Linked DNA regions of Oreochromis niloticus. The protein of the gene in region 1 interacts with the protein of each later gene in a pairwise test. Links are inferred from orthologs where the notes say so. Each region holds a gene or a part of one and is shown on either strand. Other genes may lie near its edges. The genes, in order: transducin-like enhancer protein 1 and foxa2.

The links.
Region 2: the proteins of transducin-like enhancer protein 1 (region 1) and foxa2 interact in a two-hybrid assay, tested with the Homo sapiens proteins (2 studies listed by BioGRID and IntAct). The link is inferred for Oreochromis niloticus from reciprocal best matches to the Homo sapiens genes TLE1 and FOXA2.

What each region holds. Positions count from the first base shown.
Region 1 is NC_031977.2:21,198,072-21,205,800, reverse strand, and holds the start of transducin-like enhancer protein 1, read left to right. Parts: upstream 1-4,721; 5' UTR 4,722-5,565; coding exon 5,566-5,589; intron 5,590-5,924; coding exon 5,925-6,025; intron 6,026-6,717; coding exon 6,718-6,781; intron 6,782-7,437; coding exon 7,438-7,482; intron 7,483-7,729. UniProt on the Homo sapiens protein: Transcriptional corepressor that binds to a number of transcription factors. Inhibits NF-kappa-B-regulated gene expression. Inhibits the transcriptional activation mediated by FOXA2, and by CTNNB1 and TCF family members in Wnt signaling.
Region 2 is NC_031983.2:28,012,992-28,021,309, reverse strand, and holds foxa2 (forkhead box protein A2), read left to right. Parts: upstream 1-4,930; 5' UTR 4,931-5,273; coding exon 5,274-5,345; intron 5,346-6,014; coding exon 6,015-7,184; 3' UTR 7,185-7,613; downstream 7,614-8,318. UniProt on the Homo sapiens protein: Transcription factor that is involved in embryonic development, establishment of tissue-specific gene expression and regulation of gene expression in differentiated tissues.

The DNA.
Region 1 (7,729 bases):
GTTAGAGCTAGATCAGCTCACTTATCTCTTATGCCTCTTTTTCAATAGTACATACTTGGATCAGCTCGACTCTACCCGTAACGGGTTTTATTACTTATGAGTTCCCAAGCAAGGTGAGTTGAACCAAAAATGTGACGTTAACAGACAGTCATGAGAGCAACTCCTTCACAATAAAAAAACCTGCGATTTTTGAAACTGAGGGAAATGGCAACACACAAACCAAGTGTTTTGGAGTGTTTTGTCTCGCCAACTTCAGCCTTCTTGGGCGCTCTTGTTTTACCCTGAGTCTGACAAAAAGCCATAGACCGAGCAGCAGGTATACCATTGCCTCGTTGTAGTGTGTTTGTGTTGTATACAAATGATGTGAAGGGACTTTCTGACAGTCTTTCTATAATGACTCCACCCACATTGAGGTGATACTCAGTTGTAATGGAAAATGATGGAAACCGGGTAGAGTAGATTTGAGTCGAATCGAGCCAAATAGTGTGCTGGGGGACTTCCCCTGCTGCACTGAGCGTTTCCTCTCCACACTACTCTTTTCATTTTCTGTGTTTTACTTCTAACATAATTTGTGATGTGTCCTTGTCTCCCTGTGCTTTCCATTTTTCTTGTATTTCCCTCCATCCCGTAATCAATCACAGCACATAGCTGCCCCTCTCTGGATAATTCTGGATGCATCTTCCTGTTAAAAGGGAGTTCTTCCTTCCCACTTTCGCCAAGTGCACGATATGGAGGTTTTATTTTGTTAGGCTACATTAAAGCACCTTGAGGAAACTGTTCTTGCGAGTTGGTGCCATATAATTTAAATTAAACTGAACTGTATTTAAAAACCGCCAGTCTTTCTTTTAAGAAAAAATTCAGCATTTGTGACTCAAAAACATCACTTTATTTTTACAAGTCTAAAATTTTAATTGTATACGTACAACAGCAAAAAAGGACTATTCTATTCCATCTATTCTAAAACACATTTTAATTCACATTTAAATGTCATATTGACATAAAATGCAGGGCGTTCTATTATACAGGACATGTGGTTTTCTGTGTTTTTACCTTTTTTCCCAGTAACCTGTGGTTAACATTAGGTAGAAACAATTTGTCTCATTCATCACTTTCATAACTCCTCAACACTTTGTGGTGTCTTGTGTCTATAACCTCAAATGCAAATCTCTCATAAAGTAATAATAAAATGCTAATCATCCTGTTTATTTGAGGATACTCTACATGTATTGCCTCATATTGAAAATATAGTGTTAAATAAAACACTGTAGTGCAGAAAAGACTTCAAACAGAAAACATGGATCTGCTACTTTTTCTTAATATAATGAATAGTTTAACTATGGATGTTGTGTTGTGTATTAAAAAGATTTAGTTTTGACTGATGTGTGACCTTTAACTATTATTTGATGGGCTGTAAGGATCTTTGCATTGAGGTGAGTTAAGGTAAGGAAAAAAGGAGCATGTTGCCTTGTGCTTCTTCTTGTTTTGCTGTTTGTAGAACTAATGGAGCACTAAAAATGTTAATGATTACAAGCCCAATTTTGAAAAGGTTAGGATGCTCTGTAAAGAGTAAATCAAAATAGATTGCAATGATTTGCACTGAACCATATTTATTCACAAAAGAACATAAAAAACATCAAATATTTAGATTTTTACTATTTCATGAGAAATAATAGCTAAATTTTAATTTGATGGCCGCAACATGCCTCACCTCACAATAAGTTGGGATGGATGTAAAAGTTGGACGCCTGTGATCTTTGGGCCCTTGGGAACCACTGTGTTAAAAACAGGGATGATTCTGTCATGCAAATCACTGAAGAGTGATTAAATGAGGAAGACTATGAGGAAGAGCGGAAAACTGTTTTGTGATCAGATGAATCGAAATTTGAAATTCTTTTTGGAAAACATGGACACTGCATCCTCTGGGCTTAAGAGGACAGGGACCATCTGGTTTGTTCTCAGCACTCAGTTCAAAAGTCTCTGACGCTATGGTGGTATAATAGGGAATGGAACTTGCAGCTTCCACATCTGGAAAGGCATCAATGCTGAAAGGTACATAGAAGTTTTAGAGCAACGTGTCCTATAAGATGACATTTTTTTCTTGGAAGGCCTTGCATATGTCAGCAAGACAATACTAAACCGCATCTTCCATTTATTTTACAACAGCATGACTTTGTAGTAGAAGAGTCCAGATGCTGAACTGGTTTGTTTGCGGTCCACTCCTTCCAACAACTAAAAAAAAATGGCAGATCATGAAATGGAAAATATGATAAGGAAGACCCAGGACAGCTGAGCAGCTAGAATGCCGTATCAGACAAGAATGGGGCGACATTGCTCTAAAGGGGGCCAACCGCTGGTCTCCACAGTTCCCAGACATTTACAGAGTGGTAAAGAAGAGGGGATACTACACAGGTGTAAATGTGGCAGTATTCCAACTTTTGAGACATGTTGCTGCCACCAAATTCAAAATGTGCAAATATTTTTCTTAAAAGATTTGATGTGTTCTCTCTGGTCTATTGTAAATAAAGTATGAATTTATGAGATTTTTTTTTTTTATTGTTCAGCACATCACAACTTTGCAGAACTGGGATTGTACCTCTTTTTTGTAGGAACTTATTACACAGTATGGAGAAGTTATTGATCTAAATTTTAGATTACGCTTCAGGTATACTCAATGAGGCCAACACTGCACTTGATCATGAACAACTGAATCTGCACTAATGGCAAAAAAAAAGAAAAGATTACATTAAACCTTGAAGCATTTGGGAAGAACAGAAGAGAAGATGGGGGAACTGGGGCCATAAAAGTGTAGCAATGTGCATAATTCAGTGCACCGTAGAGAGGTTTAAGAAGGGAAAACAATAAAAAACAAAACATTATGCAGCAAACAGATAAGTAGCCAAGATTCTAAAAACATGCTGTAAATTTTAGAAATGACACAGACTCAGGGTGATTTTCTTTAGTGGAAATTTACCATATATTCATAGGCAGTAACTGTGATTAACTGTAGCTCCAGAAGCCAGTCGCATACAGCCAAAATGAATAAATTAATATAAACAGTCTAAATGAAAAGGTCCAACCATTAGGTTGATGCAGCACAAAATTTGCCTGTGAATGCCAAACAGTGTGGCTAACTCACATTTCAAGGCAGTCCTGGTTGTTCATTTTAGAGGGGCCCGGGGTGGGGTGAGGGTGTGGGTCACAGGCAGCAAAGGTTAACACGAATGTGAACCAACACTTATAAAAGACAAAATGCATTTAAGCACCCGCACAAATGTGTAGCTGCACATGCAAACCTTTGTAACCGTACCACCCACTCCACAGCACCTGCGTGTCTGTGCATGTGTGAGACCTGCAAAAAACAGGTCACTGTTGGTCACAGTCAGGAGCCTCTCATACGGACTGGATCAGCCGCCGTAGAGGTCAGAGGTCACGTGGGTCAGAGGGTTGAGGTCTCTAAGCCAATCACGGGCCAGTGTGTGGCTGAGGGGCCATCCAGTGTGAAGTGAGCAGTACTTCGATGGGATAAGAGGAGTAGAGAAGATCCCACGAGCCTCCTTTATGACTCAGCTTCAAACACACCTCGCCAGTCACAACGTGGTGACTTCAGCCATGCAGTATTTCATCAGGTAGCTGGCACAAAAACACCCCAAAATGAGTGCAATTTACCAATAGCCTTTATTGGCAATGGAGCTATAACCTGTGCTTGTTTGCTAGGAGAGCAATAAATGGTGACATCTTTATTTTAAAAACATTGCTGAAACTTTTATGTGCAAGAGATATGGTCTTCATTTTTGATGAAGGTGGCAAGTTATATTTCTTCACACATTTTCAATAAAAGCCCCTTTCTCATTTATGTTTTTGTATTCATGTCTTTAGCAGCAACTCTAACTACTCTTGTTACCTGCTTGTTACCTGTTAGCGTGTCTTTATTTACAGCTGCTTCAATCTGGCTTTGACTGCTGGTATAATAAAATACCATTCTGTGAGCTTTATTACAACGAATCAGGAATTCCCCTGGCATTTTTCTGCTTTCTTTGGGTCAAAATCACATTTGCACAATGCCGAGCTACGTTTTTGAAGAGATATAAAGACATCACAGTACAAGTAAGGGTTTTGGATTTGTCCTTGGCCAGCGAAGGAAACATGATGAGGCAAACTGAGCTATCTCTGTAGACTGACTGTATGAAAATAGCAATAAACTGCAACAGATGAGCAGCATAATTAGATTTTTTTAGGAGAAGCAGAACATAAAGAGCGTTCAAGTCCTACTAAATCAATTCCCACGCTGAAAATTATTACATAGAGGGGGAGAGAAAGCAGAGGAAGAGAGAGATTTGGGGTTATTTGTCATGACACTTGCTGGGAAGGTTCACGGCGGCTAAGAAAAACAATATTTCTGTTTTTCTGTTTGTGTGTTTGCCTGTTAATGTGTGCGTGTGTGTATGTGTGTGGACGCGCACATTTACAGCTCTGCTCCTGGTGAACCCACGTTACTTTGATTGACAGCTGAGACTTGCCTTTTTCCCCACCGCACTGCCCGCCCTGCGCGCTTCCGAAGTGGCAGCTCCTTGCGACGCGCTGATTGGTCAAAATCTGCGTAGCTCAACGAGGTCAACAGAATCAGGGAACTTTGCAGAGAGGCTATTGGTCAGTTTCATAACCCACATCATTTTCCCCACGTGGAGCGGAGACTGTGATTGGTGCGGAGGCGTTTTGTGGGCTGGCCTATAGTTTCGGTTAGCTGGGTGAGCGTGAAACCGCGTGAGAAAGTTGCCATTGAGGTAAAGCAGAGCAGGACCGTGAACAGTTCCCGCCGCTGTGGGAGTTGTTGTTATCAAAATTAACGACATATTTCCTCGTTTTTTTATTTTTTGTCTTAAAAACGAGAAATCTATTTTGGAGGCAAGGCTTGCTTCCACACCGATCGAGGAAGTAAATATTTCTGTATTTGTTGACCGTTCAACCGCCAGCCAGTGACCGCGGCGAGTCAAGTGGGAACTCTTCTCTGCAATTAACTTGTGTGGATTTGTTTCTGATGCTCTGAATGAGCGCCGGCAGTTTGCGGCTGTCTGTTGAGGATCTACGGGGTTGATTTTATCTTGTTTGTTTGTTTGGTCGGCTCTCCGTACTCGGAATACATCAGTTCGCACACAAAACAAACGTCGGAGTGGCGAAGGTGGCTCCAGCCCTATTTTTTTTTCTCACCTGGCTCTCCTGTCCTTCTCTTCCCTCCCCCTTCAGCTGCTTTCAACTAATGAGCCGTTTCCCGTGTTTTTCCGGTTGATTTACGGTCGCGCTGCCTGTGGAGCGGAGGACAGACGACGACCGAGAGACGGGAAGAAGCGGAAATTCACGTTAAACGGTCGGTGAACCCAGACGAAGCGGACAAGCGGTCGGTGCCTTTTTTTTTTCTTTTTTAATTAACGATCGTTGGTCCTAATAACAACGGCGGATGGATTCCTCTCCGTGATTGGGAGCTTCCCACAACCTTACTTTTCACCCCCATTTGATCCCACTTTGACGGGGTTTTAAGAAGGAAACGGTTTCATCCTCCCGGAGATAACAATGTTTCCCCAGGGGCGACACCCGGTAAGACGCTCTTTGTGCATTAACAGACGCTCACTTCACCGGGCTCAACCGGGTAACATTACCTCGTTATATGACCCGCCCCTCCGGGCTGCCTATGTGTTTATATTAAGCTCAGTCTTCTAACTAATTGGGCTCTACAGTGGGATTGATTATATTGCGTTTTGGCTTTTTGTGTGTGTTTTTTAAATAACGACTAATATTTAGAAGTTGTTGATATTGTATTTGTGCTTAAAAGTATCAGATTCATAATGTAGACAACAAAATGTGCCAGTGTGATGTTAGTAATCTGTGTGTGTGTGTGTGTGTGTGTGTGTGTACGCGCGCGCACGCGCCAGACGCCCCACCAGGCTCCAGGCCAGCCCTTCAAGTTCACCATCCCAGAGTCACTGGACCGCATCAAGGAGGAGTTTCAGTTTCTTCAGGCACAGTACCACAGGTGGATAACACAAACACTCAATTCACGTTTTCCTCTATTGTCATCTGCCCTCCCAACACTAAACTTCACCCTAACCACAGTCATCCTCATAACCATAATGAACAAAACCTCAACCCTGGCTTCAGACTAACCCATAAACCTGGATTAGGTTCACGTACACATACAAAAGTGCACACATATGCAAGCAGGCATCAGTGTTAGCGCTTGCACTGCGGTAGGTCTACATCTTCTTGATGGGTGAGAGCCAGAGGGGTGGCGTGTGGGCTTAGGGTTTCATAAATCACGCCTTATTTTCCCCTGTGTGTGTAGCTGTGTAGGGAAAAGGCTTGCTCAAGTACTGCATGTGAGCAGAGTGTTTCTTTTTTTCTTTTTGTTTTTTTTTAACTTTGCTCTAGATGTTGTCAGGGTGGGTCATTCACAACAGGTGAAAGCTAGACCTGGATGTTTCTGATTTACATATTCAAAGAAGAGGATTGTCATAAACATATACCCATTATTTGACGGGAACAGTCATCGCGTTTTCCATTTTTGCACCAATTCTTTTGAAACATCTCCATGGACTGTTTTAGAGGGTGTTTAAATCATCAAGCAAGAGGGGCGAGAGAAAGAATGAAAACTGATTAGTTTAACTTGAAATGTTGAGTTCCACTCAAAGTAAATGGTGTATTGTTTTTCTTGTTGTTTTTTTTAAGTCTCAAACTGGAGTGTGAGAAGCTGGCCAGTGAAAAAACAGAGATGCAGAGGCACTACGTCATGGTGAGCTCCCTATACTCAATTCATTTGCCCTGCAGGGTCACACATCACATGCAGGAGTTCTAAAGTTTCCTAGAGGAGAAAGTTGTCCATATCTTATAAAGCAGAATACAAATTCCTATCTGAAGACTCGCAATACAAAATATATGTATTGTTAATACTAAATGAAGGGAAGAGGAAGAGCAACGTGCAAGTGTCACCTGCTTTTACTGTGCAAAGATGCTGTGCTGTTACGACTTTTCATGTTGATTTAAAATGTGTTTCACTGTTTCAGAAAATAAAATATACACGAGAGCTTACGTTTCACTTTTAATCACTGAAGTTTTACCTCTTTTACACAAAGCAATGTGGCTGTGTGTCAAAAGCTTTTCATCTAGCGCAGAAACAAACATAACATGGACAGGAATGCTGTTCAGTTCAGATTGTTTGTGAGGATGTTGCATTGCCTCATGTTCAAGTTAAAAAGCATTTGACTTGCATGTTTTGACTTTCAAAGTAGTTTGACCTCTTTGTGGAACACTTCATTTAAAAGGATCTGCAAATATCTTGAAAGACATCTACAGTGTAGCTAATTATTGTTTAAGTTATTCAAGCTTTTTCTTTCAGGGGTTTAGGATTTGTTTCACCCTTCTAACCTTCTCACTCTTTGCCCCCCCCAGTACTATGAGATGTCGTATGGCCTCAACATTGAAATGCACAAACAGGTATGGCTGCTCGTCCACTCTGTCGGTCCTCTTGTTTATCTCTCTTCCTCTCATGGATGGATTTTGATGTATGTGGAGTGTGGGCCTGTTGACGTGTCCTTGTGTGTGCACAAGTGCATTTGTGTGTGTGTGTGTGTGTGTGTGTCTCTCTCTCTCTTTTACTGTATACGTGTATATGTGTGTTTATTTGTGATCGATGGGGCTCTGTCTCCATTTCCCCAGTTAGGGCCGGCCGGCTGAGCCCAGA
Region 2 (8,318 bases), on another chromosome or scaffold:
TTGTAGAAAGTTCAGAAAGCACAAGGAGTCGTGGCATCTGATCTATGTCAGAGTGTGGGTATATAAGAAATCACAATAATGCTAAAGTTTACCCCCCCCCCAAGTATTTTAGCCTTTAAACCTGTAGCTTTATATCCAGCAACCCTGTAAAGCCTGAGCAATTAAATAATTGCCAAAAAATTCAAATTTATTTTGAAAATTAAGTTTTTATTGAACCTTCTGACAAATTCAATATCTATTTGCATATATGGGTTTTAATTTATATTATATTTGCTACATCTGGCACTTTTTGTTTGTCAATTTATTACTTAAAATAATTTGATCAATTTATTTTGGTTGGGGAAAAAACAAATCACACCGCTGATGTAGAAGTCTGAGAAGCTCTGAAAAGACACACTTGGTGTTACAGGGTTAAGCACGTACTTCTTTCAGTTGAGTTTAAACTGGGTTCATTTAAATAACATAATTTATGCCCACGTGTGTCTCAGTCTTATATGACCCACTAAGTGTGTGGCTATAAGTGTTAAAAACACTTAATATAGCAGTAAATTTGTATTATTTTGTTGCTCTCACAACCTGACAACCAAATATAATCTAGAAGGTTTTTGCAAATCATGTATTAATTATGAATAAAGCAGCTTTTTTTTCTCAGACAAAATTAATTTCCAAACCTGTCAGAAGAATAAACTGCAACAACATAAACACTCAAAATTCTAGTTCAGCGCGTTGGATCCTTCCATCTCTCAGGATTTCATCTTCCTCATTCTACTCCTGTGGTCCAATAGATAAACTGTCACCTTGTTTGACAGATGAAGGCCGGCGGTAAACACAGGTTCTTTTTCTAACATGACAAGAGGAAAGTATTGCATCTACAATGCCTTGGATACAGTCAACATAAAACATATCGAATGGCATTCCTCGCTGCATTCCTCTCAATATCAAAAGGTGCGTGTTTGAGGATAGCCTTACTGCGTTTACGCCTGTGTTTGCGCCCTGACCCACTGGGGCCAGTGCAATAACTTTGGACTGCCTCCCACTGCATCTCGTTGCAATGGCCACTCTCAGTTTTTATTTAGCTAGGTTGTGTGCCTTCCCAGTCCGGCCGCTTTTCAGATTCATTTCCAGGTAAACACAGTGTGGCCAGCCACAAACCTGCAGCCAACAGGCGTTGTCACAGCTGTGGCAGATAATGGCAGGTCCAAACTCCAGCCCGGCTCTGGAATGTTTACTGTCACCACAGGCAAGTTGGCCGCAAACATTTTTTTTTCCAGCACTTTCCAAGAGGAAGACTCTCTTGTTATTAATTTTATTTTGATGAATTACATGCTTAACCCTTTGCCCTGTGCTGTTTTGTGTGGCTCGGTGTACTCAGGAGGGTAGAAAGGCACAAAAAGGTGCATTCTTCAGCAGAGCTTTTAATTTCAGTTGAGAAAAAAATCCTTACTTTGAAAGTTGGAACTTAAAGCTAGCACATAACTGCCAACAGCTCCTGGGTGTTTGAAGGAATGTTCCACCTTCCTCTCACCGAGCAGAGATCTATCCGTTTCCATCCCCCTGCCCTGCACCCAAGAAAACTTCCTGGTGTCATTTTGGGGCCACGTGTGTGCTTTGCTTTCACCTCTTTAACTCAGTCATTACATTTTCACCACTTAGTGGATTCCCTTATCATAACCAATAAAGGAATGACACCTAAATGTGTGAAATGTAACACCCATCATCCTAAAGGCTAATTAATCCAGAGTGTGGCAAATCTAACTGGAGGAGAAAGAGGGCTACACTGCTGGTTCAGGTGCCACAAGGAAATTTTCAATGGAAATATATAAATTTTATAATAACACACTGAGCTGTGTTCTGACTCAATCTCATGAGAACAAGTCAATGCAGTCCTGGCCTCATTTTCAGTGCATGCGGGATTGTGAAAGCTTCAGCTGGGAACAGAAAAACTGCCAAGAAACGTGGCAGCGGTTTGTACATATTGCAGCAATGACCATCAGGCCATTAGATTCCCTGCTCAGTGTGTTGAAGTGAACTATTGAAGTGCGTATTTTAAAGCTGGTGTCAATGGAATAAACCAGAGGTTAAATAGAAAGGGACACACTGCCTGTATTTGACCCAAAGGTTTACCTGGTCTGAACCTCAATCATAAGCAAAATGATTTACAACATTACTTTAATTTGACTGTGAAACATCAAAAAGACTCTGAAATCTTTGGATAAAGATTTTCGTTTTATATTGCTACTTTTTTTTAGTCCAGTTTTACATAATTACGGTAGAAGAATGGATACTTGGCATATTTTTTTATTCACTAACAGACCAGCTTACAAGTATATACATGCACGTGTAATTAACCTTCTGAATTTAAGCCGAGTGTAACGCAATGCAAGATTTTCAGTCTTTGGTGATTCAATCATCTTTTCTGTACCAACCATAAAGAGGCAGTGATTAACTACTCTGGCTTTTAAAATTCGGGAGGGACTTGTTCTGATTCTGTGGAACATTTAAACTGTGTTTTGGAGCTCACATTTCTGAAATTCTCCACATTTTGTCACTTTGCTGACACTTTTTCTTTACTTGTTTTTTTTTTGTTCCGTTTCCAAAAACTGAAGTCAGGCCCCATATATCAAATTTACCGTGTGATTTCTTTGGTTATCTCTTTCCACTGACAAAGTCAGAGGGGGTCATAAATAAAAATGTTACAATTGTACAGAGTGTGAGATAGAGTCAGAGTGATATGTAGTGTCTGCTGTGGAGAGGAGGTAACATTTTTTTGTGAAAAGGCCAGTTATTGTTCTGGAGTGAGGATGCAAACACTACACCAAAGAATAATAAAGAAAAACAAAATACGCTGAATAGAAATTACATCTGCATAAAGCCCTGCACCAGTTTTTTGTTTTTCCAAAATGTGACCTTCACTCATGTGAGAGGACTCTGGAAAGTTGATGATTAACCATGGATTTAGCTTCATGTCTCATTCAGGAACATAATGTTACACAGGTCAAGGACCCTTTTAAAATGCTCACGGTTTTTAGTTTCTGTAATTTTAAAATAAGCACATCATGAAATAATATTTTTAACTCATATATATTGGATTTAGCGGTACCAGAACCATTCCAGGTCCTTTTTGAACCCGTTTTCATACTTTTTAAAAGAAAATATGCAACATTTTTCACATTCAGCGTGACCACATCGTTGCGTAACACACACAAACATACTGGCTGGCCATGCAAGCATTCACGATCGGATTTTTTTTAGCACATTTATGCAACAGAAATGCGTCAGAATATTTGTAAAACCTTTTTAAAATTATATTTTAAAATCTATGAAAAATGTCTTCTTTGAAATCCAGTTACTCCATAATGAGCTCACACCAAAAATATTCAACGCGCCTAATCTTCCGCCCTTAACACTTTATAAAGGCTCTATTATACACAAATATTAGATGACTGTTTGTTTTAAGCGTTTTGTGATTTTGCAGCGACTGTCCCTTTCAAAAATAACATTTCACAAAACTTATTGTTGTTGACTCAGTCGAGCCGGGAGAGCGCAGATTTGACCATCTCCAGCTTTCTCCATTTCCACCTCTCCGCCGGTGCAATCCCAAATCCTCAAACACACAGAGCTTTTTCTCATGATCTCATTTCCAAGTTAAGCAGACTGTGTTAGTCCCTCGTCAACACGACAGGTTTACTCGCCTTTACTAATGGGGCTCTATACTGATAGTTATGCTCTTGCGTAAATATGCAGTCAAATAGATGTACAACTACTGACACGTGGCTGGCATCGCTCTGCAGCCTCACCTTGATGTTTGTGTCATACAAATACTGTACGGGTTGCGAAAATGAGAGGCCCTCAACACGCAGGCCCGCACGTCTGATGAAAAACAGGAGTTTCGTGCTTTAAAAGGTCTCCCAACAAACAAAATCAGAAAAGCTGTCTGCCTATACAACCACGCGAACTCTCGAATGACCTATTTAAATATCAGAATGTGGGCTGTAACGTCATCACTTCCGTGTTTTTCTTGATTTCGGTTATTTTTCATCTCTTTTTTTGAGTCAACCTAAAGAAAAAGCGCCCAACTTTCGTTGATTTTAAAATATTTCACGGGCGTTTGAGTTCAAAGAATGACTTTATGTGCCACAGACAGTAGAGCCAGTCGGAGGTGGCATCCGAGAGAGGGCGCTCTGAAGCTGTGCCTGGCGTATTCGACACTAATTAAAACATTTAGAAACAGTAATTCAGTCTCCCAGGTTAAGAAATCAGGTTAAACTGTGCCTTTGTGCAAATATCACCTACATTAGTTGGGAAAGAGGTAAGGACTTTAGTACTGACAAAATGTAAACTTTAGCTTGTAGGAAGTTTTGATATTGTTTAAAATGACCAATTGTATCAAACAAGCTGCGGTCATTTACACGGATCTCGCTGCTTTTTCTGTGGACTAAGCAAAGCTGAAAGAGAAATCCTCTTCAGGTGAACATCAGAAAGGTTTAAAAACTGTGTCTTATCATTTATGTAAGACATAAACATGTGTTCTTGGATTTATATAGCAACAAAGCTATGGCAGAATAATATTTAATCCTGTATCAGTTAATGGTTTAATCTGCCTTAAATACTCCTCTGTGGAGATTTTTGCTGAAACGAGATTTTACTTCATTTCTAAACGTTTTCGTGTTCTTTGGTGTTCTCGGTGTAAAATAGTTAAAATTTATATGTAGGCTTAGGCAATAAATTCCTTGAATGCAACGCAATAAAATGGATTATGATTTGAGCTCAGCTGAAGTGGAATAAGCACTTTGGAGGATGTGCGTAATGAAAAGCGCACCAAGGAAGAGCGCCAAACATTCCTTTTATAGTTCTCCCCCCCTTTTTCTGCCCCAACCAAAATACAATAAGATTAGTTTATAATGAAGCTTTTCATATGAAACTGTTCTTTTCAGTTAGCGCAGGTGTACAATTGGGGTGGGGGGATGCTCGAGGAGTCTCACGCCTAGGTGCGAGGAGATTATTCAAATAGGGCCCAAGGCGTAGAAGTAGGGATTGGAGGCTTGCCTAGAGCACAGAGCTATATCACAGCGTTAACAAGCAGCACGGAGCGTCATTTGAACTCCAGTCACTGACAGACGCATTTCACGGCTGGCTCCATAAGACACACATGCTCCAGTCTTCGACGAAGGGACACACCGACGACCTAAATACACTCAGTGGTCCCCAGTTACCTGCTATTAGAGAGACTTTTGGCTTTCCCTCTGCTGGGAGACGCTTTGTAAAAGTCCTCCATGATGCTTGGAGCAGTTAAAATGGAAGGACACGAACACACCGACTGGAGCACCTACTACGGAGAGCCCGAGGTGGGTACCTTAAATATATATTTTTTTCTGTCTAAAGCCGATCCCATTTTATACAACTCAATATTAGCCCTGAGATAATATTAACTTTGTGATCAAATATTGACTTGAGGCGCCTCCAAATCCTCCCCCATCTCCACGCAGCGCACTATCCTAACAAAGTTGCTTGACATGTAGGGGAAGAAACTTTTCGCTCGGATTATAATTTCATAAGTCTCTACGTGTTTCTACTAAATCGGGTTATTGTTGGTCAGGTTTCCACCCAATAAACACGTGTGCCGTTTGATTTCGGGCAGATTTTTCAGTGGACACACGCACACCGAGTACGATTTTCATCTAGGTTGCACATTTTAAGAGGAATAGTCACCTCAATTTTATTTATTTATTTATGTTTTGTTGTAATAGTGGCGTTAAATATATTGTTAAATATACACACCCCTGTTTTTCATTTCTAGGAAATACTTCGCGCGAGAGCAAACGCTTACAATGCCACTTCACACTTACGAAACCGGGAAGCTTTAAAATATTCAGTATTATTTATGGAGATGAATAAGGCGATTTTTATCAGGCTCAAATGATAACGATTCGCCGTGTTTAGAAATCACTGTGCCGCTTTATTCCTCGCTGCAATGCCAGATGAAACTCACGAATGCCTCTTTCCCTCACTGACAGTGTTACACCTCGGTTGGCAACATGAACGCGGGCCTGGGAATGAACTCTATGAATACCTACATGAGCATGTCCGGCATGAGCACCACTGCCAACATGACGGCCAACTCCATGAATATGTCATACGTCAACACGGGCATGAGCCCCTCCATGACCGGCATGTCACCGGGAACCGGAGCCATGAACGGCATGGGCGCAGGGATGACGGCAATGAGCGCAGCCCTGAGCCCCAGCATGAGTCCCATGACCGCACAGCCCGCGTCTATGAACGCCCTCACGTCGTACTCAAACATGAACGCCATGAGCCCGATATACGGACAGTCTAACATCAACAGGTCCAGAGACCCAAAGACCTACCGCAGGAGCTACACGCACGCCAAACCCCCGTACTCCTACATTTCTCTCATCACCATGGCCATCCAGCAGTCCCCGAGCAAGATGCTGACACTAGCCGAGATCTACCAGTGGATAATGGACCTCTTCCCGTTTTACCGACAGAACCAGCAGCGCTGGCAGAACTCCATTCGCCACTCTTTGTCTTTCAATGACTGTTTCGTCAAAGTGCCCAGGTCGCCGGATAAACCGGGGAAAGGCTCGTTTTGGACTCTGCACCCGGACTCCGGGAACATGTTCGAGAACGGCTGCTACCTGAGGAGGCAGAAACGCTTTAAGTGCGACAAGAAGATGAAGGAACCGGGCCGCAAGTCAGGGGACGGCGGCTCCTCCAACAGCAGCTCAGAGAGCTGCAACGGCAACGAGTCCCCGCTCTCCAACTCCTCCTCCAGCGACCACAAAAGGTCCCTGTCGGACATGAAGACGAGCCAGGCCCTGAGCCCGGAGCACACCGCTGCTAGCCCGGTGACGCAGGGGCAGCACCTCATGTCTCAGCATCACTCGGTTCTTGCGCACGAAGCCCACCTGAAGCCGGAGCACCACTACTCCTTCAACCACCCTTTCTCCATAAATAACCTCATGTCCTCGGAGCAGCAGCATCACAAAATGGACTTAAAGACTTACGAGCAGGTGATGCATTACTCCGGCTATGGCTCCCCCATGGCGGGACCTCTTTCCATGGGCTCCATGGCGGGGAAAGCCGGTCTGGATTCTTCATCCATACCTGACACAACTTACTACCAAGGTGTCTATTCCAGACCAATCATGAACTCCTCGTAAACTCTTTTATCCCCTCATGTAATGTGGACTTTCTTCCCATTCACTTTGTACATTTGTAAAAGAAAAAAGTATAGACTTTGTGTACAATATGTATTTCAGATATTTTTGACGTTTCCCACAGTTTTAGTTGTCGAGTTTGTTAGTAGCCTAATTATTTTGAGAGGATGCTGATATTAATGATTAAAAAACACTGATAATGTGACGGAAATCTGCTCAGAAGTTGGTTTCAGGACTGGACCCAAAGACAACCAACAACAACTTGCTGTAAAATAGCCTGCGTCCGCATAACTGGACTCGTAAATGACTCGAAATGCCTCGCTGGATTTGTTCAATCATTTGTGTAATTCCTATTTATGGCTTGTATATGTGTATTCTTGTAGTGACAAGAACAGAATCTATATTAAAGTGTTATTGGTTTTGTTTTCTGAATGTCACGGTGTTGGACCATTTATTATTATTATTATTATTATTATTATTATTATTATTATTATTATAGGAAAAATTAGATTTTATCCAAAAAACGAACTTCAAACGGAGAATTTGCAGGAGAAAGATACAACTTGAGGCGGCATTAATTTAGTCCAGTTTTGGTTTATATTATCATAACAAAAACGAATCCATTCATCCATGTTTGGGATCATAAAATACGTTTCTCACGATGTATTTATTTATTTAATTCAAATTCTGGAATTTATTCTTACCCACGTAAGGCGCACAGTCAGCTTGGATTAATAGCTTTGCTGGATAAAACCGGGAACAATGCTCCCAATTTGTCATTCAGGAAATGTAAACAACACACATATATGCTCATTAATCCCAACCACAAATTCAAATATTTATATGAAAAAAAGGAGATGTAGCCAGTGCGCCACATTCTATAATATAATATTTTTAAACTGAAGTGAGGAAAAAGGAGGTTTGAAAGAAAAAAAGCGGCTAATAGCTAGCGGATAATTTAAATATATATATATTAAAACAGTTTTTAGCAAAATTGACCCCACACAGTCGATCCAAAGGCAGAAATGCACACGTTCCCATTTAATCTCGCAATCTTCAGCTGCAGTTGGTGAGATTATATGCAGCCTACATGCATGCATTATGCCAGCCATTAAATTCCCACACATACACATACTC